Struthio camelus: one gene and its partner. The protein of the gene in region 1 interacts with the protein of each later gene in a biochemical or structural test. Links are inferred from orthologs where the notes say so. Each region holds a gene or a part of one and is shown on either strand. Other genes may lie near its edges.

Region 1 (14,844 bases):
TGCTGAATACAGAGAAGTGTGGGTTTTTACTTGCATGCAAAGCTATTGGTTGTGGGTGAAGTACTTAGACCAAAACATTAAATTGCTGGTGTGGGTATTCCACCAAAAATAAACCCAAACAAACACTGACATATTATAAAAGCACATTTTTCTGTGTAGACAGACTTGCAGTTGCCGCTGCTGTTCCGAACCCCAGCCCTATTAAAGCCTTCTGTTTAACTTATTTTCTTATACAAAGTAAAACAGCAATGTCTCTGAAACTTGAGAACCAAACAGTAAATGTTATATATTTTTCATGAAAACATGGTATACCCCCTACAATTACAGGGATATTTTTCAATGATAACCATTACTTGCTAAGGTCGTCTGTGTTGCAAAAAATGCAGCATACAAAAGGGCCGAAGGTAGGGGGTACAAAACTTTTCTTAAACTTTAAAAAAATGCTAACTGAAAGTAAACTTAAAGATTAATTGAAGAAAAATTGTTTCACAGTGATTAGCAAAGGTTTGTTTTTCCTCCTGTTTTCCAGATTGCTTCACAAAGGGTTTTTTAAATTGTACTCCATTATAACAGTTAGTGCTACTTCATTATCAGAATAGTGATAGAGATTTTTATTCCAGAAGGCCAGGCACTATCACTACTTGAAATTCTCCAGATTGTTTCCACTGCGAGCAAATTCAATCTTGATGCGAGTCACATTTGCTTAAAAGTTAATAGCAATTGCTTTTACTTTATGTCAGCATCAAATGTCACCTACAAGCTCAGATGTAAAAAAACAAGTTCGATCTCAGGGTTGGGATAGCTTTGTATAAGTGACTTTAAATCCAGAAGTCCTTAATATAAAATATTAAAATAAAAGCATTCAACTTTAGTGGTTTCGGGTTGAAATGGAGACATTTCCTTTCAGATAGGAATGTCTCATGTGAACTACACACACAAAAAAGGTCTATTTAAGTTTTTTCCACGTACAGACAAAAAATAGCTATCACACCTAAATGCAGTTTCTCATCCAAGTAGAGAAGACGTGGACTAGATGCAAGTGGACTGAGGAGCAGGGAGACAGGCAGCCTGCATGAATTGCAAGCTTAGCTGTCCACAAGGCCTTCAGGAATAATTGCCTCTCTAGCAGCACAGGGGCATCAGTCACCCTCGTGCTCCCGCGGGCTCCCTGTGGGCTCCCCAGCTCTCCGCGCTGGCCGGTGCAGCTGCTTCAGCCCCCAGTGAGGATTAGTGGGAGGAAATGTTTAGAGAAAGGTTTAGATTTCCTAAGCGAGTGGAGTGAAACCACCCTCAGCAATTATCGGTGAGCTCATGTCACAGAGCAGTTTGAAGCAGCCTGACTTGCGGGAAAGCAAAGGCCTTTTAGAAAGGAAATTTGACAAGTGAAAGATTCTGGGGAGCAGCTAGAGAGGTTTTAAAGGGGAAGAGGTGGCTTTTATGGAGAGGCAGCACTGAATGGGGTAGCTCTGAAAGTAACTTTAAGTCAGTATTTCACACACCTTAAATGTAAATGGTTGTTATAAGTGTCCTAAAAGAAAGTGCAGCTATTGCAGTGTTCAGGTAAATAAAATAACATTGCAGGGTCATGCAACCAAAGCTACCATGATGGCATCCAGCTACAGCATCCTCATTCTCTACTTTGCAACTGATTTTTCACTATAGCTATGTCTGAAAGCAAAGGGAGGGTGACAAACCCAGTAAATAGCCAGAAATTACAAGAGGAAAGCTGGCAGTGATCCACATTTCACAGGTGTAAAATTCTGTCTGCTGTGGCACTGTCCCTGATGGCAGCAACACATCTTGGAATCTAAACATTCATTTCAGTTAAAAATGAAATAAAATAGGACCATTCAATTGACGCTATCAGCTTTCAGATTACTGTGGTAAGAAAGAACATAGGCTTCAGGCAGCTATTAAGATTAAAGTAAAATTCACCTGAGCAAAACTGGAGATAGTGAAAGAGCTAAGGAAAAAAAAAAAAGCCAGTTCAAAACACTGCCCCATGGTAGCTATTGAAAAGGGCCTTGTTTTTCCCCTAAAACACTCCACCAGCAAACCTGTGATTTAATTTATAGCACTTGCAGCACCCTCCAGTTCCCAATCTCAACGCCCCTTTGGCATGGGAAAAGAGCATTATCCTTATTTTATAGATAAGGAAACTGGTTTATCAGCTTGCCCTCAGCAAGAGGCAGAGCCTGGAATAAAACTTGGCTAGGATGCAGGTACCTCAAGTGAGGGCAAACATGCATTTAAAACAGCCTCAAAATGTGATCTTTGGTTAGGGGCCATTACTTCAGAAATGCTAGTTTCAAGTCACACAGAGTTTCTCCTCAGTTGTGTATTTACCCCAAAGTCTCCTCCTTCTCCCACAGCAAAGCCTTTGGTGGGGGGGGGAGAAGAGGGAGGGACTCTGAACGTGACAGAAGGGGAACATCCAAGTGTTCAGAGACTAAAAGAACTGCATTGGAGCCCTTGTATTAAAAATTATTTATTTAGTGATCTGTACATGGGATGAAGCAGGGCCTCATACAGACCTTCCAAAAAAATCAAGTAAAAACATAAATACATATTTTCTTACAAAAATGAAATTTACAAAATATACATACTGCACTTGTCTTACAGTTTTTTTTTTCCACGTGCACATTATAAAAGACAAAAACCCAAGCCCTACAAGTCTGAGAACAGACAGACTGAAGGATTTGGCTGTTGGGCTGTTCCTCATACCCAGACTACTGGTTTGCCTTCAGACAGCAGTAGTCTGCCCCCTCACCTGGAATATTTTTTTCCTTTTTAGTTTAATTCCAGACACTTCCCCCCCCCCAAAAAAAAAAAAATGAACAGCAGCTATAGGGTGGAGACTTGCTAAAAATCCACAATTTCCTATTTTGTCCATAGGCAAGAAAATATATACACACACACATATATTTATAAAAACAAACCTTTCAGTGAATATAAAGGTAGAGTAGTATTTAAAAATAAAATATGAAAGAGTCAACATAAAATTTTAATAGAAAATTGTCACATTTCAAAAAAAATGCTGCATCTGATGATTAATTTTTGAATGTCTTTCCTTCCAAGATGTGATCAGTGGAAGCTTAAACTGCTGTATTTTTAGATAAAAATGAAAAGGTTGCTCATAGTAACTGCTTTCTTTTTAAAACCAAAACCCAGCTGCCCCCAGCCCTCTCCTGCTCCACGAGTCATCGTTATGTGGTTCAGGGAATCGGAGGAGCTGGCAAATTTGTCCATCATGAGCAAAAAGTATTCTCCCTGTCCCCAGCGCCCAGCTGCCTATCGACTTTACCTGCAGCAATCTCACTGCAAAACAGGAGAGAAAGCAGGTTTACTAGAACGAAGGTGGGGGGGGGGGGAAGAGAAACATCTTTATCTTACATATTTTAATAGGTCTTGTTTTGGCAGGTGCTCTCAGTTATGCTCTTTCCCTCTCTTTTAAGCTTTGCATTTCCTCCAGCTTAGAAAAGCAACCCATACCGAACAGTACGAAAACATCCTGCCTCCTCCTTTTTCATAAAAGGAATGTTTATTTCTGTGAGCTCCTCACATCCAAGGGTGAACCTCAACGACTTCTTTTTGTTAGTTTGCCCATAAAAAGCGATCCCATGCTTATGCCTTTCTACATAGAAAACACTTTTGTTTCCCCCTTTGTCTCCTATAACAAAGGCAAGGGGGAAAAGCCTTCTGCTGAAAAGCAACAAGTCATTTCTTTTCAGGGTGTGGAATAGCAACCCCCTCCTTCCTCCACAGCAGCAAGAATAACACACTCAAGGCAGACTTTTCACTTTAAAATAATGAAAACAGGTATCACTGAGGGGAAAAAAAAAACTCCTAAGCTGACAGAGTAGAGGCATCTCAACAGCACACGATCTGGACTGGCAGCTTGTTGTACAGTACTCACGTGATTGCTCCACTGTGGTTCAATGAGCAGACAGTAACCTAGGGCTCTGAAGTTACCCTGCGAGAGCTGCAATTTGACCTCAGGAATTCAGAGATAGTTTGGCTACTTCTTGGCAGGGGCTGCTCAATGGATGTGGCTTTCCCTCTCTCCTGTCTCATCCAAAGCAAGGCAGGACGTTTTGAGGCCCCCCCCACCCCCCGCATAGGGAAGAGGTAATGGGAACTTCTTGCAGGTAAAGGACTCTCCCACCCCACCAGTGGCCTGAGAACCCTTTTCTGTGCTCTTCCAATTAGCTGGGCATAAGCACCCTTGGACACAGGGCATCTGGTCCTTTATGCAAAGATTCTTTTTCCCCCTGGGAGGAAGCAAAAGTTTTAGAAAGCCTCCCTTTCCTCCTCCTTTGGGGAGCCATCACCTCCCTTCTGCTGAGTATCCCTCTTCTGTGTGTGTGTGTGTGTGTGTGTATGTGTGTGTGCATGCAGAGGGGGCAGGAGGGTCTCATACTGCTGTCTCTCCCTTGCTGCCAGTGCTGAGTCTGTGGTAGAAGCGTCGCCAGGACTGAAGGGTTTTGCCAGACCAGATCCAGAAGCCAGTTGTGATACCAACAATCATGGTCATGAGGTACTTGATCATGAAGACAGTGAAGTCAGGGCTCATAGGGGCAAAGTGGCTGGGACAGGGCACAGCATAGGATTTGCAGGTCTGGAGGAGCCACGTCTTCTCCCAGGTGCCACGGAAAGCCTGCTCATAGAAATAGCACGCCAGGACAATGGTGGCAGGCACTGTGTACAGGACACTGAAGACACCAATGCGCACCATCAGCTTCTCCAGTTTCTCTGTCTTGGTGCCGTCATGCTTCATGATGGTTCGGATGCGGAACAGGGACACAAAGCCAGCAAGCAAGAAGGAAGTGCCGATGAACAGGTACACAAACAAAGGTGCCAGGACAAAGCCTCGCAGGGAGTCCACGCTGTAGATACCTACGTAACACACCCCACTGAGCACGTCCCCATCCACCTGCCCCATGGCCAAGATAGTGATTGTTTTGACAGCAGGCACAGCCCAAGCAGCAAGGTGGAAGTACTGGGAGTTGGCCTCAATGGCTTCATGGCCCCACTTCATGCCAGCAGCCAAGAACCAAGTGAGGGACAGGATGACCCACCAGATGGAGCTGGCCATACCAAAGAAGTAGAGGATCATGAAGAGGATGGTGCAACCTTCTTTCTTTGTGCCCTGGGCCACAGTGCGGTAGCCATCCTCAGAGAAGCGCTCCAGGCATACCACACGCTCCTCCAGCAAGAAGCCTGCCGCATAGGCCACTGCCACCATGAAGTAGCAGCCTGAGAGGAAGATGATGGGCCGCTCTGGGTAGCTGAAACGACGCATGTCCACCAAGTAGGTGAGCACGGTGAAGAGGGTAGAGGCGCAGCAGAGCACAGACCATACGCCCACCCACAGCCGGGCAAACCGCACCTCCGCCTCCTTGAAGTACATCAGCCCGTTGGGCCGGGCTGGCTCACAGGGGGCCCCGCAGTCCCTTTCCCCCAGGAAGCGGTAGCCCAAGTAGGGGGGCACCTTGAGCTGCCGGGGGCAGGAGAAGGAGAAGCCAGCGGGGGACTGCGGCGGGGTGAGGAAGTCCGGGAGGTAGCCCGCTGTGGGGTGGGCCGTGGCACCCCTGCCCGCCCCGCCGCCGGGGCCGGCCGGCGCGTCCGACGTGTTCTGCCCCACGCAGATCTCGCCGGCGCCGTGGACGGGGAAGTTCTCGCAGCGGAGCCGCTCGGGCCACTGGAAGCCGAACTTGTTCATGAGGGCCTCGCAGCCCTGGCGGGCCCGCTCGCACAGGGAGCGGCACGGCGGGATGGCCTGCTCCAGCACCGTGCACACCGGCGCGTACATGGAGCACAGGAAGAACTTGAGCTCGGCCGAGCACTGCACCTTGACCAGCGGGTAGAACTGGTGCACCTCCAGCCCCGCGTCCTCCTGGTTCGTGTGGCCCAGCAGGTTGGGCAGGATGGTCTGGTTGTAGGCGATATCCGTGCACAGCGGGATGGAGATGGGCTGGCAGAAGCCGTGGTCCGGCACCGAGATGCCCTTCTCGCCGTGGTACTGCTGCGCCGCCGCGCCCGCGAGGGGCCCCAGCAGGGCGCCCAGCAGCGCGGCCAGGCGCAGCCAGCGGCAGCCGCCGCCGCCGCCCGCCGCGGCGCCTCCGCCGCGCATCGCCGCGGCGCCGGGGGGCTCAAAGGCCCAGGGGCATGGGCGGCGCCGGGCCCCTTCCGCCGCGCCGGCCGGGGCGCTCCGCCGCTCGGGGCGCTGCCCGGCGGCCCCCGCGGAAAGTTTCCGGAGGCGAAACGCGAGATGCACCAACCTGGCGGAGTCTCTCGCCAGCCCCGCGCAGGGTCCGGCGGCGGCGACGCGCTGGCTCCGCTGCCCGCCTGGCTGCTCGGCCCCGGGAGCCCGGGATTTGCGTTACAGTTAAACGGATTAGGACTTCGCCCGGCTGATCCGTGTATTTTACTCGGGGGCTTAAAGAACTTTTAAAATCCAATTACTGCGCGATCCGCTGCGCGATCCGCCCCGCAGCTCCGCTCCCGACGGGCTCCGCTCCGGGCTGCGCGTCCGGGGCCGCCGCCGCTCCGCGCCCGCGGCTGCGACGCACCGACACCGCCCGCCCGCGCCGCCGTCCCGCCCGCGCGGCGCCCACAGCAGCACATATACGTGCGGGCCCCGCCCCCGCCGGGCCCATTCACAAACCGCGCCGGGGGCGGGGCCGGGGGCGGCCCGCCCGCCAATCCCCGCGCCCGCCCGCCGCCAGCGCGGAGGGGCGGGGCGGGGCGGGGGCTGGGGGAAAAAAGTTGAGAAAAAGTTGTGCGCGGCCGAGCGGGGGCGGCGGGGCCGGGAGCGCGCTCGGGGGGGCCGAGCGAGCGAGCGAGCGAGCTAAAATTACTGCGCCGATTGCCGAGCAGGCTCGGCAAATGCAAACAGCTGCCTGTGCCCAGAGTTATTAGCGACAGCAGAGAGTCGTGCCCGAGTCCGGCCGCCGGGGGGGCGGGCGGGAGCGTTGTCGGGATGTCAGCGCCTGGGCGCCCTCGCCTCCCCGCCTGCGCGGTTTGAGTTGTTATCACGGCCTGGCCGTTGGTTTTTTAGTGGCAGAATACACGCTTTGTTCATGCGGATCTAAGCTTTAGCTAGAGGAAGGCAGCTTTTTCTGAAAAAGTCCAGTGTTACCTAAGCAAGGAGAAATTTTAGATCCACATGTGTGCTGGTGCAACCCCATTAAGAGACTCCAAAAGGTCATTGAAAAGCAGCAGTTCCCGTGTGGAGCCAGGCTGGCTCGGAGAGAGAGCGTGCCGTAGGACAGGAGAGGGGTGGCATCGGCGTGCCGAGCGATGCTGAGCAGATCTAGAGCTAGGCCAGCGTGCCTGTGCTAAGGCCAGAAGTGTGGTTTTTGCAGCATAGTTGTATTTTGAGGTGCACCGCCGAAACATGGGCTGCTGGAGCCGTCCTGCTGCTGCAGGGTCGTACAGGTAAAGAGAGGATCTTCAGCAGCACAAAAAAGGATTATGTTCTCAAGAGGAGTCCTGCAAGGGCGACTGCTTTTCCCTTAGCCCTGACCTTTGAGGACCTCTGGACAGAGACTCTGGAGCCAAGGTTTATTCACTCGCTCGATCCCTCCCTTTGAGGATGGAGGTCTCCTGAGCTATATCCAAACTCCATACTATCCAAATCTCTTTTACTCTGGATTGTGCTCATTGGAGTGACTAAGCAAATGCACCACTCTATATCACCCCATAGAGCAGTTCAAGAGAGCAGAGTTTGGCTCAGGGAGCTCAAACAGCAATTGTTGCACAAATGTTTCCCGTATCCTCTCCTGCTCCTGAACAGCAGGTCCTCATACCAGTAAGACCATGGAGCTTTAGCTTTTGTTGTGTTTGTCAAGAGAAGTTGACAGTTATAAATGGGCTTACTAGAATAAATGTGCTCCTCTAAAAGTGGACATGTTTTTAAAAATAATACTCTGCTCTCCAAAATACGTATGTGGCAGGATTAGCTATTCCAGGTTGTAACAGCTGTTTCTGGAGTACAAATAAATCCTTTCTTCATTCTCAGTTATAGTTGTTTGAGGGCACCTTAGAGACATTTCAGTTTTTCAGCTTGGTAAGGTTCATTTCCTGAATAACTTACTGTTGTAAAGCTAGTGACTAAGCAGGTTTTTCTGATATGCTTCGCCTAAATGATCTCCCTTAGTAGAAGCTTACGTGAACTTGTCTACTGTATTATTTGCTCTTTGGTTGTCAGTAACGTTTTAAAAGATTATTCTTTTCATTTTTTTTTCCCTATCCCATCTTTCTGTAACACCCCATGAGCCACTGAGTCACCTATCTTTAATAATCACCTTAAAGCCTTTATTATTCTCTTTGGCATATATGACTGACTTCATCTGCAAAGCATTTTGTAATATTCACTATGAAAAACGTTGGCTGAAAGGAAATGTTTCACTGGCATGCAATGACAATGCAGAGAAAGGCAACTAACTGCAGACTTTCTGCCCCATGCATTGCCCCTTCTGATTTCCGTATATGGGAGAGAGATTCACAGCTGGTAGAACAGTATTGCAAGAGAGCATCTTTTCCTACAGGAAATTAGGTTTCAGTAATATGGAGGCAGTGGCAGAACTTATTCAGAATAAGGAATGTCAAATCAAGTGGCAAGACTGTAACGTTGCACATGGCACCAGTGATTCCCCTTGTTTTCTACCAGGCCCATTCATTAGAGTCATTCCTCCAAACCATGGTAAGAAAGAAAAGACAACTGGGAGTTCTGGTACCTGCTATAAAAGCTATATGACTCCATTACGTTTATGTTGATAATGTGGAATCAGAGTACAGCAAAAGAAAAAATGACCTTTAAGGGTAAGCAGAAAGGAAGATGGAGGGAAAGCTGCATCTTAAATTATTTCTTGGTGAGATAAGAAGAGAAGCTTATCATGTGTAATGACACTGCTAGGCCATTCCAGATGGTAGGAATGAGCAACAGGATGGAGGAAGAAAGTCTCTTGGGCTTGTTACCCAATTCCAGTTTTTTTTTTCCTGCAAACATAGACCCACTGGGAAACAACCACTGAGAGAGTAGACAGCAGTCTCAGAATGGTGGATTGTGGCCTAAGAAAAGCTCAGGCTGCCAAGTCAGTCTAGGGCATATTGACAGTTTTTTTTGGGGGGGAGGCACACCGCAAAGCAACAGCAAACCCCAGGATTCTGCATTGCAGGTTACCCCAAAATATTCATAACTATAACTAGCATCAGCCATGTTTCAAATGAGAGCAAACTTGTGCTTGTCTCCTGTTTTTACCTCAATCTGAATTCACATGTTTAGTCTGCAAAATTACTTAAATTTCCTCACAACAGGAGGGATTCTCATCAGCAAGTAAGTGTAAGCAGCTAGCATTCGCCAGGTTATTGGCCCCATAGGACAAATGTGCTGCACAGGATTTTGCAGCTTCTGAGAAATTGCCTTTTGCAACCACATAGGAGTTCAAGATGCTTTCCCTGAAAATCTCCCAACTGCTACTGTTCTGAATATCCTGCATTGCCTCTTGTCTGCCAGCAATAAACCTTCAAGAGCAAAACACTGATAAGTCCAGGGTATCAGAATGAACCTACCGCCTCAGATATTGGTACCAACTCTGGAGCTGTCTGGGAAGTGCTGTACATAGGGAGGAGTTCTTAGGAGCAAACAGTTACCTGTCTTTTTACACATTTAAAAATAAATCCAGTTCTACCTCCAAGCTAAGTCTAAGTGAAGAGGAGTGTCCCAATGTGATGCCTTTTCCTCCTGTTTTAAAGCATTGCTAGTGTCGCTTTCCTTGTTTTTTATCCCATCTGATACAAAACTTTTCCCATGGCAGGAAAGGAAATCAAAACAAAACACCCTCTCCCCACCCCATCAGTCAATAGTTGTTCTGTATGCCTGAGGGTGAACTTTTTAAGATTATTTGCAGAAACATGCTGTCTGAGGGCCCTCAATGGCCTTATTGCTAACTTAGTTGCCAAAGCCCCAGATGCAACCAGCTGAATTGTAGGACTTGTAACGTTTAAATTTAGTAAATAACTTCTATGACACTTTCAACCTTAACATTTTGAAGCATATTTGCATAAAATCTTACATGATCAGGCAGGCTATTGAGCAAAGAGCATCAACATTTGCACTACCTCAAGCTTTGTGGGGATAGGCCAGAAGCCTTAGGGGGGGATATGATGGGTTTGCCTATTTTACATAAAGATTTGCATAATTAAAAATAAAATAAGTTCGCAGATATTATATCTGCTTGCATGTCTGTCAGTATGATAGATTACTCTGAACTGCATATTTTTTAAGTTTGCCAGAGAAGTCTAGTATTTCACAAGGGAGGAGTGGGGAAGGGAAGTCCCTGTGCCCCACCATGGAGGCTTAATTTCAAATTAGACTGAAGACATAAGAAACTGATTGAAGAGAGCAGATGGGGAGGGCACAGGTGACAAAAGGAAGGGGATTCTGCTGGAGGGGATGTGGCTTCCCACAGTGAGAGAGGTAGGAGCTGGTTGCATCATGGATTTGTAAGATAATTATTAGCTTATGAAGTAGTATCCCAAAGGATGCAGTGGAAGCTCCACTGCCTTCCCCATTTACCATGAAATTGGACAAAACATTAGGAAACATTTACCAAGATGGGCTATCAGGCTGATAATTGCTTTCATCTCTGTGATCCATGAATAAGAAAACAAAACCTGAAGTTATCTACTCATCCCCACTCAGCAGTTCAGTGAGGGCATTAGTTACATTTTAACCCTTGCATGACACTTTGGATTCCCCTGTTCTTTAAAGTGATTTTTATCTGCTTTCTTACAATTTTCTGGGTTGCAGAGGCCCTTTGGTATTAGATGCAGGCCATTCCTCTCTATTTTATTTTCTATTTTGTATCTAGGTACTTTTTTAACAAGACAAATTCTCTGCTAGCAGCAGTATTGTCTGCCAGGCCCTGTCATCATTCTGTCTGGGTGCACTGGTATCATAGCATGAAGAAGGGAAGCCTCCAGAGACAGTGGGAAAAAGTGACATTCATGTCTGCTGTTCCCTTTCCATCTGTGCTCTGAGGATCTGGATGTTGCATAGTCACATGCAAACTTACTTTCTGATTCTTTAAGTCATGAAAGGTGATCTGTCACAGCGAAGTGCTCGGACCCTTCCCAGACTGCCGTGGCAGGTTTTGGCTGATGCCCTGAGATGTGTAACGTAGGGTCCTAGGCAGCGCCTCTGGCTGAGCGTCTTGGGGTCTGGCTGCCCGAGGCTTCTGGGCCAGCTGCCTTTACGCTGACACTGCTGAAGGCCCAGCCTCTGGGTGCTCTAGCTTATCATGAGCTTCTCCCAGCTCTTGTGATAAATGACTCACAGGTCGGCAAAGGTCTCTCGCAGAGTTATTCTTTACTTTATAACCCCAAAACTATCACAGATCCAAACAAAACATATATATACCCTCCCCTGCTTGCTCTCACCACCGTGGAATGTTTTTCAGGAATTCAGCCAGTGTCTTCTTGTGGTTCAAGCTCCCCTTCCCAGGACTATATTCCTCTAGAGTACTCTTCCACATTGTAGATCAGCTTTTTTTCTCTGAAAGCCAAATTCCTTGACCGTTTTCTGGGCTCTCTGTCACAGATATCCCTTTTCCTCCAAAACCCAGTGGTATTATTCCTTCTGTGATTCCCCCTTTTGTAAATTCCCTTTCAGCTTTTGAGGCTCTACGGCCAAAGACAAGTGCTAACATGTGATTTCTACGTCCTTCTTGAAGGAACGGCAGCACTGTTCCAAAGTCTGGCTTCCTGCAGAAAAGCTAGAGAAAACTAGTTCTGGCCAGCCAATTCTGTATAGCTGCTCCCATTTGCATAGTTGCCAGTAAGGTGACTTAAATCTCTTATCCAGGGGCTTTTTTGCACATAGCTCTGACAACATAAAGCTGGCTGAGGTATGCAACATAGAACAATAAAAAACATCCAAGTTTCCCAAGTTTGTACTTAAACTTCCCAACTCATTGCGGATGGTGCCATACTACTTATGAACACTGAACTACGTTTTGTTTCCCACAGCTCCAAGGTCGGTGAGGACTTAGTGACTGGTTACCAACTGATGCCCTCTAAACGTGCCCTTAACATGCAATAGTCAAATGCATTGTGCTATGTCTTTTGTCATTTATCCCCCACCTTGTTTTAATTTTATCTTTTTGTAGTGTCATTTATTTGAGGTTATATTTTAAAACCTTCTAATGCACAGCCTGAAGACTTGCACTTGTCCTACTTGAGTTAATGGGTGAGTTTTCATTTGGTTCAATGAAAACGGGGCAAGATACTCACCAAAGCCTCCAAGTCTGTTCGTGTAATAAGAGGAACTGGATTTAGCCCAGAATAAGAGATGGGGAAGACCCATTGGATCACTTAGTCCCTGCTATTATGCATTCTAGTGGTTTGATTAGTCTGATTTTAAATGCCTTGAATAATGAGACTATTGCCATTTCTCTTGGGACGTGGTTCTGCCATCTGACAATCATTTTGGCAGGAAGCCACTGCCTGATGTTCAAACAAATGGTTTATCTTTGCTTGATTAAGACTCACTAAAGATGAGTGCAGCCTCCAGAAATATGTTGTTTCCAAAGCTCAGAAAACAAGGGAAGTAGAGCTGTTATTCAATACAGAATTTGCCAGATGTCTAAAGAGGCTGAGGAATTCCTAAGCCTTTGTTTACAAAATCCTCCCTCCTCCTCCCATGAATGCTTAAATTACCAATCACTGCTCCCATCCTCTGTTTAGGGTGAAATTTCCTTAACTGACTCCACTTCCAAAATTGGATTGGAAAGAGAAACAAACATTTTAATTACTTTTATTTTCCCTCTTCCTGATGGGCTTACACAAATTAACCCTTTGGCTTTGCAATTACAATTAAACTCTTAAACAGAATTGTTTCTTTCTTCCCTTGGTCCCAGTCATGCCCTGCAGACCCACTTGCCATGGTGGTTTGCGGGTGTAAGGCCACACAGAGGTTTGCTGCATGGGGCTCCTTCTGGCTCCCTGTACCCCAGCCCCAGAGAGCAGCCTGGGCCAGGGTGCTGCCCCAGGCTGAGGATTACCCTTTTTGGGAGCACCCCGGGTGACGGTGAGCAGCAGCTCGTTCCAGTGGTGCAACACTGCTGAGGAAAAGCCAATGCCAGGGACTACAGACAGCTCTGCTGAGAAACTGGGGCCCCTAGGTTTGTGCACCAGCATCACACTCCTCTTTTACCTTTCCTTTAACCAGTCATTTTGAAACTATAATTTCAACCTCGGTGTCAGCCTTCATTGACTGAACCTGTTTGGAGCGGGGAACAATGGTGTGGGGTGGCACTGGAGATATTAAGCTGATTTCCTTCCATGGAGGAAGGGGAACCAGAAAGCAGCACTTTAAATAATCTCCCTCCTCACAGAGTCTCTGAAGGGAACGAGGGCCCATTTTCTTAATTACATGTTCATTAGTATGTTTAGTGCTCTCCTCCCTCTCTTCCCCCAGCCCTGCCACCTGGGAGTTCCTACTATGTTACTGGAAAGCCACAGAGGTTTATTTAAATACCACATAGTCAGATTGGAATGAAAAGCTATGAAGCTTCCCCTCTTTAATACTTTTTGAAATTATTTATGTGCTATGCTTCTTGCCTACGTAGAAGGTGCCTTCTGAGATTCCTGCAACGCAATGCAGAAAGAGCTGTTTGAATTGAGCAATAATTAGAAGCATATGGAGCAAAGCAATGCATCAGAGAAATCGCATTCTGCTAAAGAAACACTGCTGTCTGAAATAGATTTCAGCTTCGTGTAACATTTTCTCATACGGGCTAAAAAGAAATAATATCATATGTCTGGTTTGCACCTACCAAAGCTGGGAAATTCAAAGTACCGTCTGAAATTCTGTTCTGGATTCATTCTAATATCAGCATGGCATTTGCAGCCCCTGCGTTGTCTTGGGCCTTGGTTACAATTCATTCTTTGGCTAGACTTCAGAGCAACAGAGATTCAGCTTCATTTTGTGAACGTGTGTCTATTTGTATTTAATAATCTTCCTCCTTTTCGTCGCATTTTTAAAAACAGAGATTTAAAACACTGAGGACATGCTCATGACTTAAGACATGGTTATGATCTTTTGTAATCCACAGGCTCAGTCTGGGGAGGTACTCAGAGCTCTCAAATCCTAATTTGCTGCCAAATTCTTATGTGCTTGATGTGGTAGATGGTTTCACTCCTGACTTCTAAAAATAGCAGGTCCTGCTCTCGTTGCTCCCACAGATCATCCCTCTGAGTTTGGAGGAAGCTGAAAACTCTCAGCACCTCAAAGGGAGACGTACAGCACCCGAGCTCAAATATTCACTCTGTATTTCTTATTTGCTTTCCTCACACAAGTACGGTCGGTCTCACTTTGCTATGGGACTTCCATTCAAACCCTAGTATGGGGGTGAGATGATCTTCTTTCGATGATTATAGTTTATTCACCTTATAGCTAGTCCTAAAGCCACGTTTTGGTCAGCCGCTACGTACGTACAGTAAAGCCACAGGTTTAACGATGAAGTCACTCCTTTGAACAGTGTTTTTTTTTTCAAAAGGCAGAGATCCACAGTACAATATGAAAAGTTTCAAATAGATGTTATGAAAAGCAATGATGTCTTTAAATTATAGGGACGCAAAATATATCTGAAAACATCAATAATTTAGTACTGTGAAATGTTCAGACTTGTGCTGCTCGAAATTGTCTAAAATCAGATAGGGACGTTTTGCCTGGAGCAGAAGTTACAACTCCTGGAAATCAGATTCTGAGGGAATCATGAGCATTGGCAGGTTAATATTTTCTTCCTGACGGGAAGCGCCAGGCGTGCGCTGTGCTCG
Region 2 (15,322 bases), on another chromosome or scaffold:
AAAAATTGCCCATTCAGCTCACAATCCTAAGCTTTAAATCACAACTGCTTGCTAGTTTTCAATACACCAGGTACCAAGAAAAGCAATTTCTGTGCAAGAAACAGCTGCTCCTAAAACTATAGTTTAATAGGAAGTTCTGTTACTGATACCAAAGGAATGCCTAAAAAGCCACTCCTCAAATACTCCCTAAAGAAGTATAATCAAAAGAGTATTGGTTCACACAATGGAAAGAATGAGGACTTGAACCTCACCCAGAAGGACAGCAGAATAGACATACTCTGGTATTTGATGGATGAAGATTACAGAGCCCAAGACAAGCTTATTCTTCTTATCCTGCAGTACTGAAAGACATTATCAGTAGTTCCTGCTCTACTCACATCTTGATTAAACAGCACAATGGAAACCAGAACAATGCTCTACGGAGTATATTTATCAGAATGAGGTTTTGTACAGAGAACTTGGCCCAAGCAATGTATTTGAGATGGGATAGTTCTTACTCTGAATCTCTCATATTATAATTATGTCACAGCATAGCATCCTATACTAACTAGAGATAAAATAGTAGAACGGAGTCTCAAAATAGGCTATTTTATAGCAGAATTAAAACTGACGGGAATGCCTGGAGCATACGCATTTATAGCTTTGCATTTTGGAAGTCATTTATAGTGTTTTATAATACAATACAGAAAAGCTCTGGAAACACCTAACATTTAAGGCATGTTTAGGAATTCTTAATACGGGATCAGTCACGCAGATTCAATGTGCATAGATTCTACACTGCTTATGCAGTTGTCAGAGTTTCGATGATGAGAACACAGGCATCAGAAACTATAGCTTTATTTTAGTTGCACTCGTTATTTGTCATTTTTTCAATCATCAAAGAATCAACAAAATTGCATTACATGGATTATTACAAGGATGCGTGGCTGTAACCCCAGAATCAACAACTCCAGTGATAGGAAGTAATCTCTAAGCTCTTCCCCTGAGAGAAGAGAATCAATTGCTATAAGCAACTATGTCAGCTGATGACAATCCCCCTTTTCTCCAAGACATATCACAAATAGCACCTTCTCTAAATCTATTCTTGGTGGATACTACCACATTCTATAATGTGATCTCGTAATGTCCCATCTTAATCTGCCACTGACTAGAAGAAAAATAGAAGCTACAAACCACTGACAAAGGTTGAGCCTTTAAGTTTGAACACAGTTAAACATCCTGCATATTAAAGACAACACATCATACCCACATAAATTCAGTAGGAAAGCCTGTGCATTCAGAAGACAGACAGGTCCACACTATCAAGAGTTAGTGTAGAAGTCACCATCAAGAAGGAAACGGCACAGAAAAAAGTATTTCTATATCACAGTAACACTGTCAGGAAAATGAAGACAGAGGTCCACATTACATCTATTTTCTACAGCTTTACCGACAGTACAACATTAACACTGCAAGGCATAGTGGTAAACTACAATGTAACTGAAGTTCAGAAAGAAATACACCATTCCTGTAACATTCTTCTCCTGCTCTTTCCAAGAAGCAAAGGTGAATGCAGACTGGTTGGTCAACACAAGTATACAAAATACGTAACTGCTTCATTTTCATAGCAGAGCCTGGTATGGCTCTGTGCCCCAAATCCATCTCCGCTCCAATTCTAAGGAACTCTGATCTTTCACAGTTGGAAACAGTTCAATGCATACACTGTTTCTGAACACAATTATTTATTACATTATTTCAGGATCCAGGAAAGGCTGTGCCTTAATTAAAAAAATATGTGCAGTATTGCAAAGTCAGTTCCTCATCACTGGCTTCTCAAGGAGGCTCCACTTCTGCAGGAAAATATTTGCTTTCCTAACACAAGAACTACTTTTCACTCCATATTGGGATTTAAAAACCGCCCTGCCAAGTGGCAGTCAACATGCCAAATTATAGTTCTGCGCAGCCACGGAGCAGCAATGTGAGGAACAGAAGACTGGAACTACAGAACGCACGCTACATTTAAAACCAAAACGTTACTGTAATTTAGGTCTAAGTACCACTTACAGAAGATAGAAAAAAATTCTTATTTGGGGGACATTTTCAGGCACATAAGGGAGAAATTAGATACATAGTTTTGTTATGGTTAGCGGCCACTGCAGCTATAATTCCCTATTTGCAACAACAACAAAAACATGTCAGTTTGAAGACAAGATTATCAACACCATCCTATATTTACTATAACACTTACTAAGATGGCCACGATTCACATTAGTTTTCTTCTGATTGATAATCATAATTTCTTGTGAAAATTAGGGAGAGAGGAACAAAAAACTGGTTTAACGGCTAGGCAAATCTCACAGTTGGCTTATTGGCTTACAAGAATCACTAGCTATAAAGTTTTTTCTAGCTATCTCAAGACAACGAATTCCCACCCCAATGGACTCAGTAGTACAACCTTTCAAAATACTCTGCGTAACTATGTCAGCTATCACAATTACATAATTAAGTTACAGAGCAGAGAAAGAGAGAGAGAGAGAGAGAGAGAGAGAAGAGAGAGAGAGAGAGAGAGAGAGAACAGCTACAAACAAAAAAGATGAAATACTGAAGTTGGCAAGATTTGATACAAAGGAAATGAGCCCGTAAAGTGGAAGAAACAAGAAAGGCTGTACACATCAGAGAAGATATAGAGAAGGCCCTCATAGCAACACTGCCTAAGTTAATAGGAGGCCAGAATAAAGAGATGGTCAATACTAACAGAATGGGGAGAGAGACAAATTAATAACAGAAATGAGGTTGTTTTAATCTGTCACTTCATCTTTTTTCCTCAAGAGGCAAGCTGCATCATCTCCAGAATTACTAATTAAAGCATAAATTCTACACATAAGATGACCTGTTCAGGGTAGTGGAATTATTCTGACATGCCATTAAGTAAACATGTGCTTCACAAAAAGGCCTTCAGCATACAGCAGACACCATATTTACACAGAAGACATTGGGCCCAAATTTATAGTGACCTCTGAGTTCGGGTTCAGAAAAAAGGCCTGCAGGATAGGATTGTGTTATGTCCACATGGGTCGTTTTGAAAATCAGGCATACCCACTCTTACTTGGACAGTGATATAACATTATAGCTGATTAAAAAACTCATAAAGATACCCTCATGGATAGCCCTGGTCATAAAGCACACCTTCAGTTTGAACACAGCTGTTTTTCACAGGAATTGAAGAAAAGAGCCCATCACAGGAAGGTGGTGTAATACAAAGCTAGAAGAGCCCAGAAAGAACAAAAGGGGAGAAAGACACAGCACTCCTGGGTCTATGGCATCCCAAGCCCTGATTACATCCAACAGTCATGGAAGGAAAAAGAACTGTGATGTGACTGTGTTATTGTTAGCACTGTTTAATGGTGCATCAGCTTTTTTTTTAAATTACAAATGCAATTTTATGGTGTTTCACAGCTCAGTTGCAAAATAAAGTGAGTAGAAATGTCATTTATGTTTACATATAGGCACCAATCTTAAAACCCAATCTGCACGAATGAGCACATCTATCACCAGTTTGTGTGTTGTTAGACTTTTGGAGGCTTTTAGTAAAGGGTTTAAAAGACAAACTTAGTATTTTCACCCCTGAAAATATTGCAGAGAGCTTTTTAACAAAACACTCGTGCAATATAGCTCTAATTTCGTTTAAAAAAAAAGGAGAACAAAGACCAGATAGGGATTCCCTATTGTCAGCAGCAGGTGCTCTGGCTCCTCAGCTTGCAATCAGATGATTAACAGAAAAGAAAACAAACAAGCAAATGTCTGTACTTGAGAGACAGAATAAATGCTCAGGGAGAAAAAGTAGGGCTTTGTTTATTTTTATAGTTTAGAGGAAAATCTTTAGGTAATACAGGGCCCAATACTGAAGCTAATTTTCTTTTCACACTTGTACTCCTATGGTGGGCCCTGAAATACAGCATATATCTTGCAAATTGAAGTTATATATGTTTGCATATAGGCATTTAACAGCATGTCAGGTGAGGGTACATAAGCAATATTGGGGTTAAATTCCTGTTACATAGGATTAAACATATAGCAGGATCACAATTCTCTCTAGCTTTTAATTTACCAGCCATATCTTTTCATAGCTTTTAATGACAACATGGACCTCCTGTCTATTATAGGCTACTGAATACCTTCCAGTGATCCCTTTTTTAAGGCCAGTAATAACTTCTGATCAAAGCATGCCGTCCCATAGCAGCCCCTAATGCTACTGTAAAAAATAAATAAATAAAATTTTTAGTTCAGATTATCAGTTTCTTCAGTCCTGTGGTATTACTAACCCATGCAACCTTTTCCAAATTTTATTAATTGTTATGTGCAGGGGATGGACCTAAAAACTAGGTAAGCTCTGTATGCCCAGGTAAGCCCAGCATGAATGTACAGCTCATCATCTTCTACAGATTTATGGTAACTGCTCAGTGGTATGCACCCTCCCATGAAGATGAAGCAGCATCCCCTTTTCAACAATGGATAACTACTTTATGTTTGCTGGAGCTGTATTGTGGCATAAAGGATAAACACAAGCAATTACCACAAAGCAACTAGCTAGCTGCAAATTCACGTTTTCACATACCCCACAGTTACGTGTTCATCTGCCAACACTCTATGAAGTTTTCCCCAGAGCTTGTCCTTTTTTTAGGCAAATGATTACACATCTCTATTTGCTACTGATCCAGTTCACATCCAATTCCACACTATTTGAATGCATCACAAACTTAAGCACAGCCACCCTCCTCACAGACAATGCTTTAAACACCAGGAGTGCTGCACAGTCATATTTAAGACCGCTGTATAAATAAGGGAAATAGAATTTACAGGCCCTAAGCCTAATCATCCATTTGCAACTCTTCATCTTCCAACATCTCCATTTCCATGATAAGGCAAGAAGAGATAGCTTTCACCCTGGTTTTGGGACTAACAAGAAAATCCACTGCAGAATCTGTGTTACTAACCTTGTTACCTGGTCAAAGACCAAAAAGAGCCCAGAACGTGTTGGAGATATCCCTGTTACACTTCAACATGTCTTAGCACAGTTCATGTCCTTTCCAGCAGTAATTGTTTGTAGTGGTGGGTGCGAATGTCCATGCTGTCTCAATAAATCCAACATCCTTTATTGAGGTAGCTCCATAAAAACTCATAGCTGGAATTTTAAGACTGCTGCAGGGCATGTGCCCTGTCACTTGAGGGTGCAGGAGAAAAAAATTATGACTAGACAGTTCCAAAGGCTTTATTCTGAAAACAAGCAGTTCCTGTAGTTGTTTCTCCCAGAATGTTTCCACAACCCACTAAAACAAGTCAATGCAATAACACGCCAATATTAACAACTCGACACTTAAGAAATACGTGTCAACAAAACAATATCCACATTCCATCATGGATAAAGAAACAATGATCAGTTAAAGGCTTCAGGTCTCGTGCCTGAAGTAAGAGAAAAGAAAAAGTCTACCTAACATGTAAAAGGACACTCGGGACAACATATTTCACCAAACATTACATTCATACGTTAATCACAGTGTTATTTTATCATCAGGTCCATATTACTTTTCCCAAATCTGCTCTCTTTTTTCTGGCAAGGCACTTAATATGTAAAGATTGTCTTGCCAGTGACAGATGTGAGTACAAAGAGAAGTGATTTACTACAAAGGGATAAATATGTTTTGAAAATTACTTTCTGGCAAACTGTCAAATGTATTTTCATTGGTTTGTTTTACTACAAGCATAAATAAGACTGGCGGCATGAAACCCATATTTTTGTGTGTAAACTAGAATGATGTCAAGTATCTCCTAACTCTAGTCAGGAACAGGGCCTAGACGATCACAAAGGGCATTTGAAAGTCTGGTCCCTTGTCTTCTGCCTTGCTGATAAGCAGAACATGTTATCAGTGGTGAATAAAGCAGAACACGTTATCAGCAGGTCCTTCAACGAAGTTATCATTTCAATAATTGCTCGTTTCACACTACTAGTATGATCAACTGTGTGCGAATGCAGATCCAGAAAAGCAACTAAATTTTCAGGCAGGCATTTCCGCACTTGCAGAAGGCTTAACCTTTCAATACACCCTCAGCCTGATTCTCCTCAGCTCTTCAGAACATCCTTGCCCCAGTGAAGCGTTTCTTAGAGAAGGGTCGAGGCCTTGCCCCAACACGGTGACAGTTACGACTAGAGGCTGCCAAAAACTCCGTGCCAGATGTTATGCTCCTGCACGGCACCAACCGGGAAGGGCAGGGCGGGGAGGGAGCGGCTGGAGGAACCCAGCCCTCTCCATTAATCACCCATCTTGCCAGGCAGGCTCGAAATCTGAGGAGTTACGGAAAAACAAGTTGAGATGCCTTACCACGGCGGGGGCGAGGGGGGATCCAGCTGCAGAGCTGTCGGCGCCGGCGGCGTGCGCCGGACTCCGCAGCCCCAGAGCTGCTGCTTTGGGCCTGCCCCCAGCTCCCCGCCGCCGGGGACCGGCCTCCCGGGCTGCCGTTGGCCCCCGGCCGCAGCCCCGGCGGGCCGCGGAGCTCCTGCCTCCCTCGGCGCCGGCTGCGGGGGAAGGAGAGGCGCCGGCCTGCGCACCGGGCGCAGCGGGGGGCCGCCCGGCGCGGACAAGGACGCTGCCCAGCGCCCGTCCCGCGGCGGCAGCGGCGGCGCCGTCCCCCGGGTCCCGCCGCTCTCTGGGCCGGGCCGCCATTTTAGCGGCGGCTCCCGCCGCTCCCCCCGGCGGCGGCGGCGGCGGCCGGGGCCTAGCGCGGAGCGGGCGCCGCAGTGCGCGGCGCGAGGGCGGCTGGGCCGCGCCCTCCCCGCGGGCCCCGGGCCGCCCCGGCTCCCCGCCGCCGCCGCCAGCCCGCCGAGCGCCCCGGCCCGGCCCGCGCGACCTCCCCACGCGTGCACGCACACACGGGGGATTCAAGTTGAAAGCCAGGGCGCACGGCAGCCGCCCGCGGCCATCAAAGCAGGTGCTCTTCTGTTTGGGGACTGAGGGAGGCTCCAACACCTCCCCTCGGTGGTCACCGGGAAAGGGCGAAGGCAGGAGAGGCAGAAAGGGACGCGAATCCCCTTCCCGCACGGCATTTGCGAGCGGCAACTCACCCGAAATCCTGGTCCATGGATTTAAAGAAGAATTTGTAGCTGTGCACAGGCCGGTTGCTGAGGACATTTTTAAAATCAGCCAAAGTGACTTTTTCCGGAGGGACGGGCAGTTTCACCAGATAAGGGGTTTCCTCTTCGTCTATATGGTAGATTATTTTAGTCTCCGCCATGGGCGAGGGGAGGAGGGGAGAGGCGCGGCGCGGCGCAGAGCAGAGGGCAGACGGCTCCGGCTCTCCGCCGCCTCTCGGTCCGTCGCAGCCTCCAGCCCAGAGCCGCCCCAGACAGGAAGGGAGCTCCCAGCGCCCGGCCGCCGCCGCGCAGGGGCTCCACGGCCGGGATTTCGCTCCCTGCACTGCTCTCTAGCTGCCCGACGCGGGAACGGCAGCTCGCCGCCCGCCGCCCCCCGGCGCGCTCGGCGGCCGCCGCGGGCCACGCGCCCCGCCGCGGCGCCCCATCGCCGGGGGGGCGGCCGCCGCGGGGGGGCGGCGGCGGGGGGGCGCCGCGGCCGAGCGCGAGGCGCCGCCGCCCCCGCGTGCCCCGGGCACGCTCGCCGCGCGGCTGCCCCCGCTCCGCCCGGGCCGCGGCCGGCTAACAGGCAGCAGTCACGGCGTTTCTGCCCGCCCGTCGGAGGGAGAGCGCGTGACGTGGGAAGACAGGGCTGATTTTAGCAACTGCATCGCACCGCGCCGTCTAGTCCAAGGCAACAGCTAACAAGAGCAAGGGTGCTGCGCCCTTGCTCCTTGAAGCAAACGTCATTTTTCAAATTCGAACCGCTTAGACGCACAGATAGATACTGTTTCAGGGACTTCTGATGTTGGCAGTGCTTCATCCGAGTGCGACGCGCAAGAGAGGCTCTGTTTTTACAAGCACCGCAGGCTTTGGCCTAATAAAAATGCTTGGTGCCCCAGCAAATGTTCCCAAGGGGTCATACAAATATTATTAGTGTCCTTACAGCTCTTTCCTTTATTATTTTTTGTTTCTAGGAATTAGTAAATACTTTCCAGGTAAAGACCTCTAGGCCACTGCACAGATCTGGTCAGTATTATTATTCAATTACAAAGCAGGAAAAATGAGGTACATTGAATACATGTATTCAATCCAGTAAAGCTTTATATTCCAACTCAGTGGCCCTTAACAAGACTCGGTGGCTTCTTTCCAACGTATTATATGAGACGTGGTTGGGGCGTAAAACTGACTAACATTACTTCTGAACTATAATGATAGGCAGATTATTGTATTTCAGGTGTCTTGAGAATGTGGATTCCCTGCGTCCAGCAGGCCTATGGTGCCACTAATGCCCCTTTGTATTTCAAGAGAATTAAGATGGGGTCTGTTTAAGCAATGAACTCATGGGTTCTCTGCAGATCATGAAATTTGTCACAGGACAGTTGATGCTAATAAGACAGCAGTGACATATTTGTGGCTCAAAAATAATTGCCTTTAATAGTTGCTTCAGTAGAAGCCTGCTGGGCACAGACCCCATTGAGGTGCTTGGCATGGAGCAACTTTAGACCTATCATCTCTTGAATTTCATAGAACAGCAGAAGAATCACTGTTCCATGCTCAGGTGAGACGGCTGTGCTTTTGGAGCACCCAGTCCAGAAAAAAGATCCATGTTTTGCAATTGATATATTTGGGAAGAGTCCACCCATCTTTTTAGAAACCCCCCAAAATGAAATAAATAAAGAGGATGTTCACTTCTCAGAATATACAGCTGCTTTCTTTAAAAGAGTAAATCACAGCTCAGCGATTGAATTACCTGTGACACTGGAATGATTTTTCTACCAGCATGAAACAAAGGAGCCAATTGTGTTAGCTGCTGCCAAAAGGTTTGTTAACATTATCATTATTTATTATTTTGAAGTTTCTGAAAGTTTATTCATTGTCAGTTCCCAGCTCCAACTTTAAACATGAATCATGAGTCTGTTGCCTTAATCGCTGTTGCAAATGCTACCCCGTATCTCACATTACACCAGTCATTCTGCGGTGTTTTAAAAGGAAAGGGCCCAATCTGGAAGTGCAAGAATAAAAAGACTGCTATTTGAACATTCTTTTCTCCCTCTGCAGCAAGTGCAGATGGGTCAGGCATATTTGCACAATTGTAGGTACTGAAATGCAGCTACCACTGGGCTGACAGAGAACCAAACAGTAGAGGGCACAAGAGTAATCAAGAATGAAAGACATTTACTTATTTTTTGGACTTATAATTATTCCTCAGCATACTTGTCAAGAAGATATTGATGCTCTTAGAGACTTGGAGATCAGCAAATTATTAACTACTCAGACTAATGGGGGATACTGAAATAATCCGGATAAAACAAATCCAGAGTTCATATAACCATTTGTAAATGAGTTCATATAAACCATTTGTAAATGAAGCCATACAAACATACTATAAGGATATAAAGGAGGGGGAAAAAAAAAAAAAAGAAACAGGCTGATGTCACTGTTGACTGCCAACACAAAAATCACTTCACAGATACTGACCAGGAATAACACATCCATATTGCACACTGCCACATGAATGCTGCTTTACTACTTCCAGAACCAAATTATCCCATGCAGAGACAGATCTCGGTACAGGTCTACCAATGGCATTGTTAATCCACCACTCAACGTGACAAGATTTGACAATATTGAGAAAGCAAAATAACAACATCAGCTACCTGCTGTCATTTCTGGTATAGTGAAGCAATTACAAAAATCACATTCATTGCAGTTCTCCAGCTCTAGTGATCTGCCTATCTGTTGACATTCATACCACTCATTGTTGCTGAACCTGGACGCTTGTATAATCATTTAACAAGATACAATATACAGCGAAGTAAAGGTATGGCATTAATCTTAATCATGTAACTAGTGGTAGGGTACTGTCTTAAGTTGTGAATGACCAATTCACAACTCTTCAAAGAGTATTTTCTCTCTCCCACACACACTCTTCACAATACTCTTCAAAGAGTATTTTCCAGGAGTGGCTGAGTGTTCACTTTCTGATACAGTATTCCACTTCAGCATCCCAAGGTTAAGCAATTGATGGTTAGTCATTTCTCACTGCTTCCATTTTGGAATTTTGATAGAGTGAGGCATCAAGTACTGAAGATTTCTGTAATATTATGCATTCAAATTTCTGTCCTGCATGTGTGCACAGGCACATGCTGTGGTTCTGCTAGCATTTGAGAATACTCTTAATATAGAAAATATGCCGTGAATCCAGCAATATTACCACACACATTAATCTCTGAGCAAGATGGGGAAGGCCTCATTTGGCAGGACAATAACATAACTTTAGTACGAGCTGTATTTCCCTGAGATACTGAGTTTTCTGTAGACTTTTCAATAACAAACCCAGGGAAAGTATTAAATCCAATCCCTTAGTGTCTTCTGTTGGCACTTAATGACCTCCTGAATTCCTCAGAGACCCAGGTGGTATCTGCACAAAGACTAAACCTGCAAAGAACTCTGTTCTTGCTCTACTAGCTTTGCCTTCACTTTTGACAACTGAAAATATAATGAGTTGTAGAATTGTCAGATGACTACCTCAGAACAGGCATGATGAGGCTGGATCTATGACTCACTTAAGTTCTTTATGGGGATACAGAAATCTTTTTGTGAGGAGGTAACCCACTTTCATGTTACAATCAAACCACAAGCTAATCCAATTAAAGAGCATACATAGGAATGCAGAATTTGCCACCTTAGCAAACCACTGGTCCATCAGGGCTAATATCTTGCTTCTTGCAGAGTTCAGTGCTTAACACTTCAGTGGAAAATCAAAATAAAGCATAAAATCTCTAGCTATTAGTGCAGTGCTCTCCACGATAGAGAAAATAGTCTTGCTGACCCCTGCAGGGAGTAGAAAATGTCCTGAGGCATAAAAGCTGCTCGCCCCTTTCTTCGGTTATATAGCACTGCACTTCATTACCAGACAGAGAATAACCAAGCCTTTTTAAAAACCTGACCTTGGAATTACAGTGATGAGAGTTGCCTGTGTATTCAAAAAGCTCATTGCATTCTGGGTGCTTAACAAATAAGCATTTGCTTCAGAGATGGGACAAAAAGAAAACCAAAGCTCTGAGCACTCTGACATTCACCAAAGCTGTAACTTGGACCCACTCTGAGATTTCATGGGTATTTTTTAACCATCCACAAGAAAGTATTTGTGAAAGAACAAAATCATCTTTCACACGGAGGATCATTTCTTCTCAAGGGCCAGTCACTGGCAGTTTTGCCACTCCTAACAATGAAATCAGGTTTGACTGGGAGTACTTTCATTTGGATGGTCAACCCTGGGAAATTGACTTTGGTTTTCATTTGTTTCAGCAACACAGCAGGATCATTGTGGCTAGCATCCATGCAAGCTTCTCATCATTCCACTGCCAGCTATCCTTGCCACTTGTAGCCACTTGTAGGGCTGATGGTACAAACAAGGAGGCCATAATATGGACTAGTAGCATTAGAAACAAAACTGAGGCCACCAATTAGCCAGAGAAGATTCCTTCCAGACTGGAATCACAGTAATGATGTACAGACACAAATTCCAGGTTACCAAAGTATTGAGTCCCATCAGTAGGTCTAATCTTTGTATTCCCTGTTTTTTTTCTCCAAAGTTATCATTGCTCAGAAGTAACAGGGGAAAAGGATTCTAGACTTTTATCTTTAAAGGGATTTATCAGAAGTTGGTACCGGAATGAACCACAAAGGAATTGTTAGCCAACCTATTCCCTCTCTTTAGAGGTCACGAGTTTCACTGGGCCCTGCATGAAGACTTTCGGCACACCCATTCACATAGGCAAGATTAGCTCCAATGCAGAATGAGAATTAAACATGGAAATGATCCTAAACAAGAAAGAGAAGTAGAAAGACGTAACTGCAAACAGTTTTGATTTACTTAAAATGAAGATGCTGTAGGCTGGATCCTAAACTGTTATATATCAGCAGGATGCAATGCAAGTCAGTTTACACCGCTTATGGATCTGGTCTAACAGGCCTACATGCTTTTTTCCTCTTAAACTCCCTCTCTGCACAACAGACCTTGGGCACAGTCAGGTCATGGCAGAGCTCAGTCTTGCCTAGTTTACAAGAAAATAAAGACATAACCGCTAGAGGGAAGCAAAAGCGTTGCAGTTCAGCAAGCCAGCTCTCCAGACTTCTTGGCAAAGCTCCCCAGGGCTTTCATTGCCACTGGATTCAAATATAAATCGGGGGGAAAATGAGAGTGGGTATTTTCAGCGGCATTTCTGAGCAATGTGTGTTTTATACAGGGATATTATTCTACAGGTCTGTAGGAATGAGGCACTGTTGTATTTCATAAGGGAGGGGAAGAGAGAAGAATAAAGGACAACATTCATGTTGTCGCTCCACAGGGACTGCTGAAAAGAAACGAGAGGCTTGTAAGGCAAAACATTTACCAACAATGTCAACAGATGCACACAACTCTAAGGATTCAGAGGAATGAAGAGCATCTCTTCTGATTTCAGTCTTCCTTTTCCATCTAACCCAGATCTATTGATGACTGTTCAGTTACTGCTTCCAAAAATTTGATGCATCTCAGTCCTGTTGCAGGGAGTTATAACGATGGAAGAACTAGCAGACTCTGAATGAACTATGTTCCTGTCCTTTCAGTGTCTCTCAGCAACAGCAAACCTCAAGCGAAAATCAGGTACTGGCATAGAATGGCGTCAATCTAACAAATGCAGAAATGCTGCTTCTTCTGTTTGGAACACAATTGTACTTTAATAGTCTAAAGCAACGATCAAAACAGTGGAGAAGAGTCAGCAAAGAAGTAAAACGTTGCAAAGGGTAACACAAGCTGTCAGAACAGATGAAAGTTGGTGCGAATCCGAGATATGAGCTCTAACTATAAAGATACATCTCTTGCAGTAGGTGTTAGAGGATCTTTAATGATCTAATCACTGAAAGTGCTTTAAGCACCAGTTAATCATCTAATCCATTCCTGTGCTGTGTTTCTGAAAGCTTTGCAGTGTTTCTGCTACATTCATCACTGTCCAAAATTGCCATCATCCGAACCATGATGTCTGACTTGGAAAGGTACATTTTGGGTTTTAGAAGCCAGAAGAACTGGAAGCAATGACAGTAGCAAGAAAATGAAAACCCAGCCCAATCAGTTTACTGTTCATGTGCCAGGGAGGCAGTTCTGCAGAAAAAAAAAAAAAAAATCTCCTTTTGAAGTTACTGTAATTTCTGCTTGAGAAGGCTCTCCTGAACACAGCTCCAAAGCAGCCCATCAAATCAATGAGTGATATCAAGCTGGTTTTGGTGAAATACCTTTTTCTCCATCATGTGTTTGCTGTAGGTTAAGTCTTCAAAAGGAAGTTTCCATGGAAGTTTCCTTCACCAGTTTCCTTCAAAAGGAAGTTTCCATGGAAGTTTCCTTCACCAGTTTCCTTCTGGTGGAAGGAAGAGGTGACACCTTCTAGCTAAGACCTCATTTGTTGCTAACGCACGTAAGCAAGACGCTGTGGGTTAGAACGTCAGTATACCCCCTCTGAAAACTCAACGCTCCCACACTTTTTCTAAAGTCCTCTTAGCAGTAAGCATGGAAAATCAGTCACTATTGCACACATGCACTTTCAGCACAGCCAAGCACTTTCAAATATTTTTGTGAGATGCACATCTCACCAATGAGTTCAGTAGGTCCATCCCAGCTCCTACTCATCATGGCTCAATCTATTTTCTCTCCACAGCCATTTTCTGATCCTCCTACCTCTTCTTACTAGCTGCAGCACTTGCTTAAATGGAGAGAGCCAGGCTTGGAAAACTTCCTCGTGGCAATTGTTTTCCAAGCAGCTGATCGGCAAACTTCAGGGGCCACGTATGCATTTAGAAACTTGACCTCAAGGGAACAGTGGGTTTTTGCTTAGGAATGTCTATTCGGATCTTTATCTGACTTCTGCCAGGACCCCATTGTTTCTTCTTCCCCTCAGAAGTTTCTTCTGTTAATGACTAGCAACTCTCCCTCCACTGCCAAAACTCTCTTCCCAGTTTGGGAGGCAGAGAGAAAACAGGAACAATCTGGACTTCATTTCAGACAAGTTGAAGGCAATGAAAATATTTAATTTCAGAGGGCTGTGGAGCAGGATCTGTGGTTGCTAAATTAGCTTTTCCTTGTTCCCAGCTGCTTTCCTTGAACATCAGACCCATTGCCTACAGAAACAGAGAGAAGTAACAAGAGGTCCTAGTATCAAATAACCAACAGTGCCTGGTCTGGAGACTGCCAGGAGAGACCCACTGTACCAGCATAAAGGAATAGTCCTTAAAGCATTAATGACCGCCCCAGGACTGGCTAAGGCTGCACAGTAAGAACTCACTCTTCAAGATAACTGCGTAATCGCAGATGCCCTTTCTGCAGGCTCCCTCACCTGTGTAAGGAAAAAAAAACCGCCATGCTGGATTTAAGGAGGAATTGGGCAGTTTGTATGTGCATCATGTCAGATGAGTAGAAATATGCAGGCCTGCGAACACTGCATTTGTATTTTTTTTTAGCTTACAGAAAACTACCCTTGAGCTCCATATTTCCCCAACAATGAACAAATATAGAGATCCTATCCAACACGTGTCATCTGAGTCCAGCAAAACGCTGGCATCTCTGGTTCCCAGCATCAACAGTATAATTTGAAGAAATTTTCTGTGGCATGGTGCTGTACTCTGCCTGTGGCTTTTAAGAAAAAAACAAAAAGGCAAATTTAAATCTTTGGAAAATGCTGTTGAGTTTCATGTTCCCAATGGAGCTGGCACCAGTCCCAGGATGATCTCACCTGCCCAAAGTATCTTTTTCAGCAGCTCTCATTTGGCTTCCTCTCACAGTGAAGAATCTGACTTACAGGTTATAACCATGACTGATGACCGGTAAAGTCCCACAGCACTACCATAGTTTGGATAAGATCTTTATTGCACATGGCCCCTGACTCCAACTGTTCAAGAATTCTTGTCATTCATTCCTTGGGCACCAGGAGAGCCCAAGCAGAAGGAACTACTCCCCATCTTTGTGTCCCCACCCCTTCTTTTTTTCTGGTCCGCTGAGAGAGCACAAGGAACCATCACAGGATGATTCACCCCATTGAAGAGGTGGTATGAACTGGCTGGAGACCAGCTGTAATATGGTTTCCAATCAGGTAAGAGAGAAGACAATACTTTCACTAGAGTCAGGCAGGCTGGTCAATAATCTTAGTTTGGTAAATGTGCTTCTTTGCCACTTTTTAGTTTCAT

The links.
Region 2: the proteins of FZD7 (region 1) and DVL1 form a complex in vitro, tested with the Homo sapiens proteins (2 studies listed by BioGRID and IntAct, with this or other methods). The link is inferred for Struthio camelus from reciprocal best matches to the Homo sapiens genes FZD7 and DVL1.

The regions. Positions count from the first base shown.
Region 1 is NC_090947.1:10,064,300-10,079,143, forward strand, and holds FZD7 (frizzled-7), read right to left. Parts: upstream 6,134-14,844; coding exon 4,415-6,133; 3' UTR 3,350-4,414; downstream 1-3,349. UniProt on the Homo sapiens protein: Receptor for Wnt proteins.
Region 2 is NC_090962.1:3,697,159-3,712,480, reverse strand, and holds the start of DVL1 (segment polarity protein dishevelled homolog DVL-1), read right to left. Parts: upstream 7,494-15,322; 5' UTR 7,267-7,493; coding exon 7,097-7,266; intron 1-7,096. UniProt on the Homo sapiens protein: Participates in Wnt signaling by binding to the cytoplasmic C-terminus of frizzled family members and transducing the Wnt signal to down-stream effectors. Plays a role both in canonical and non-canonical Wnt signaling.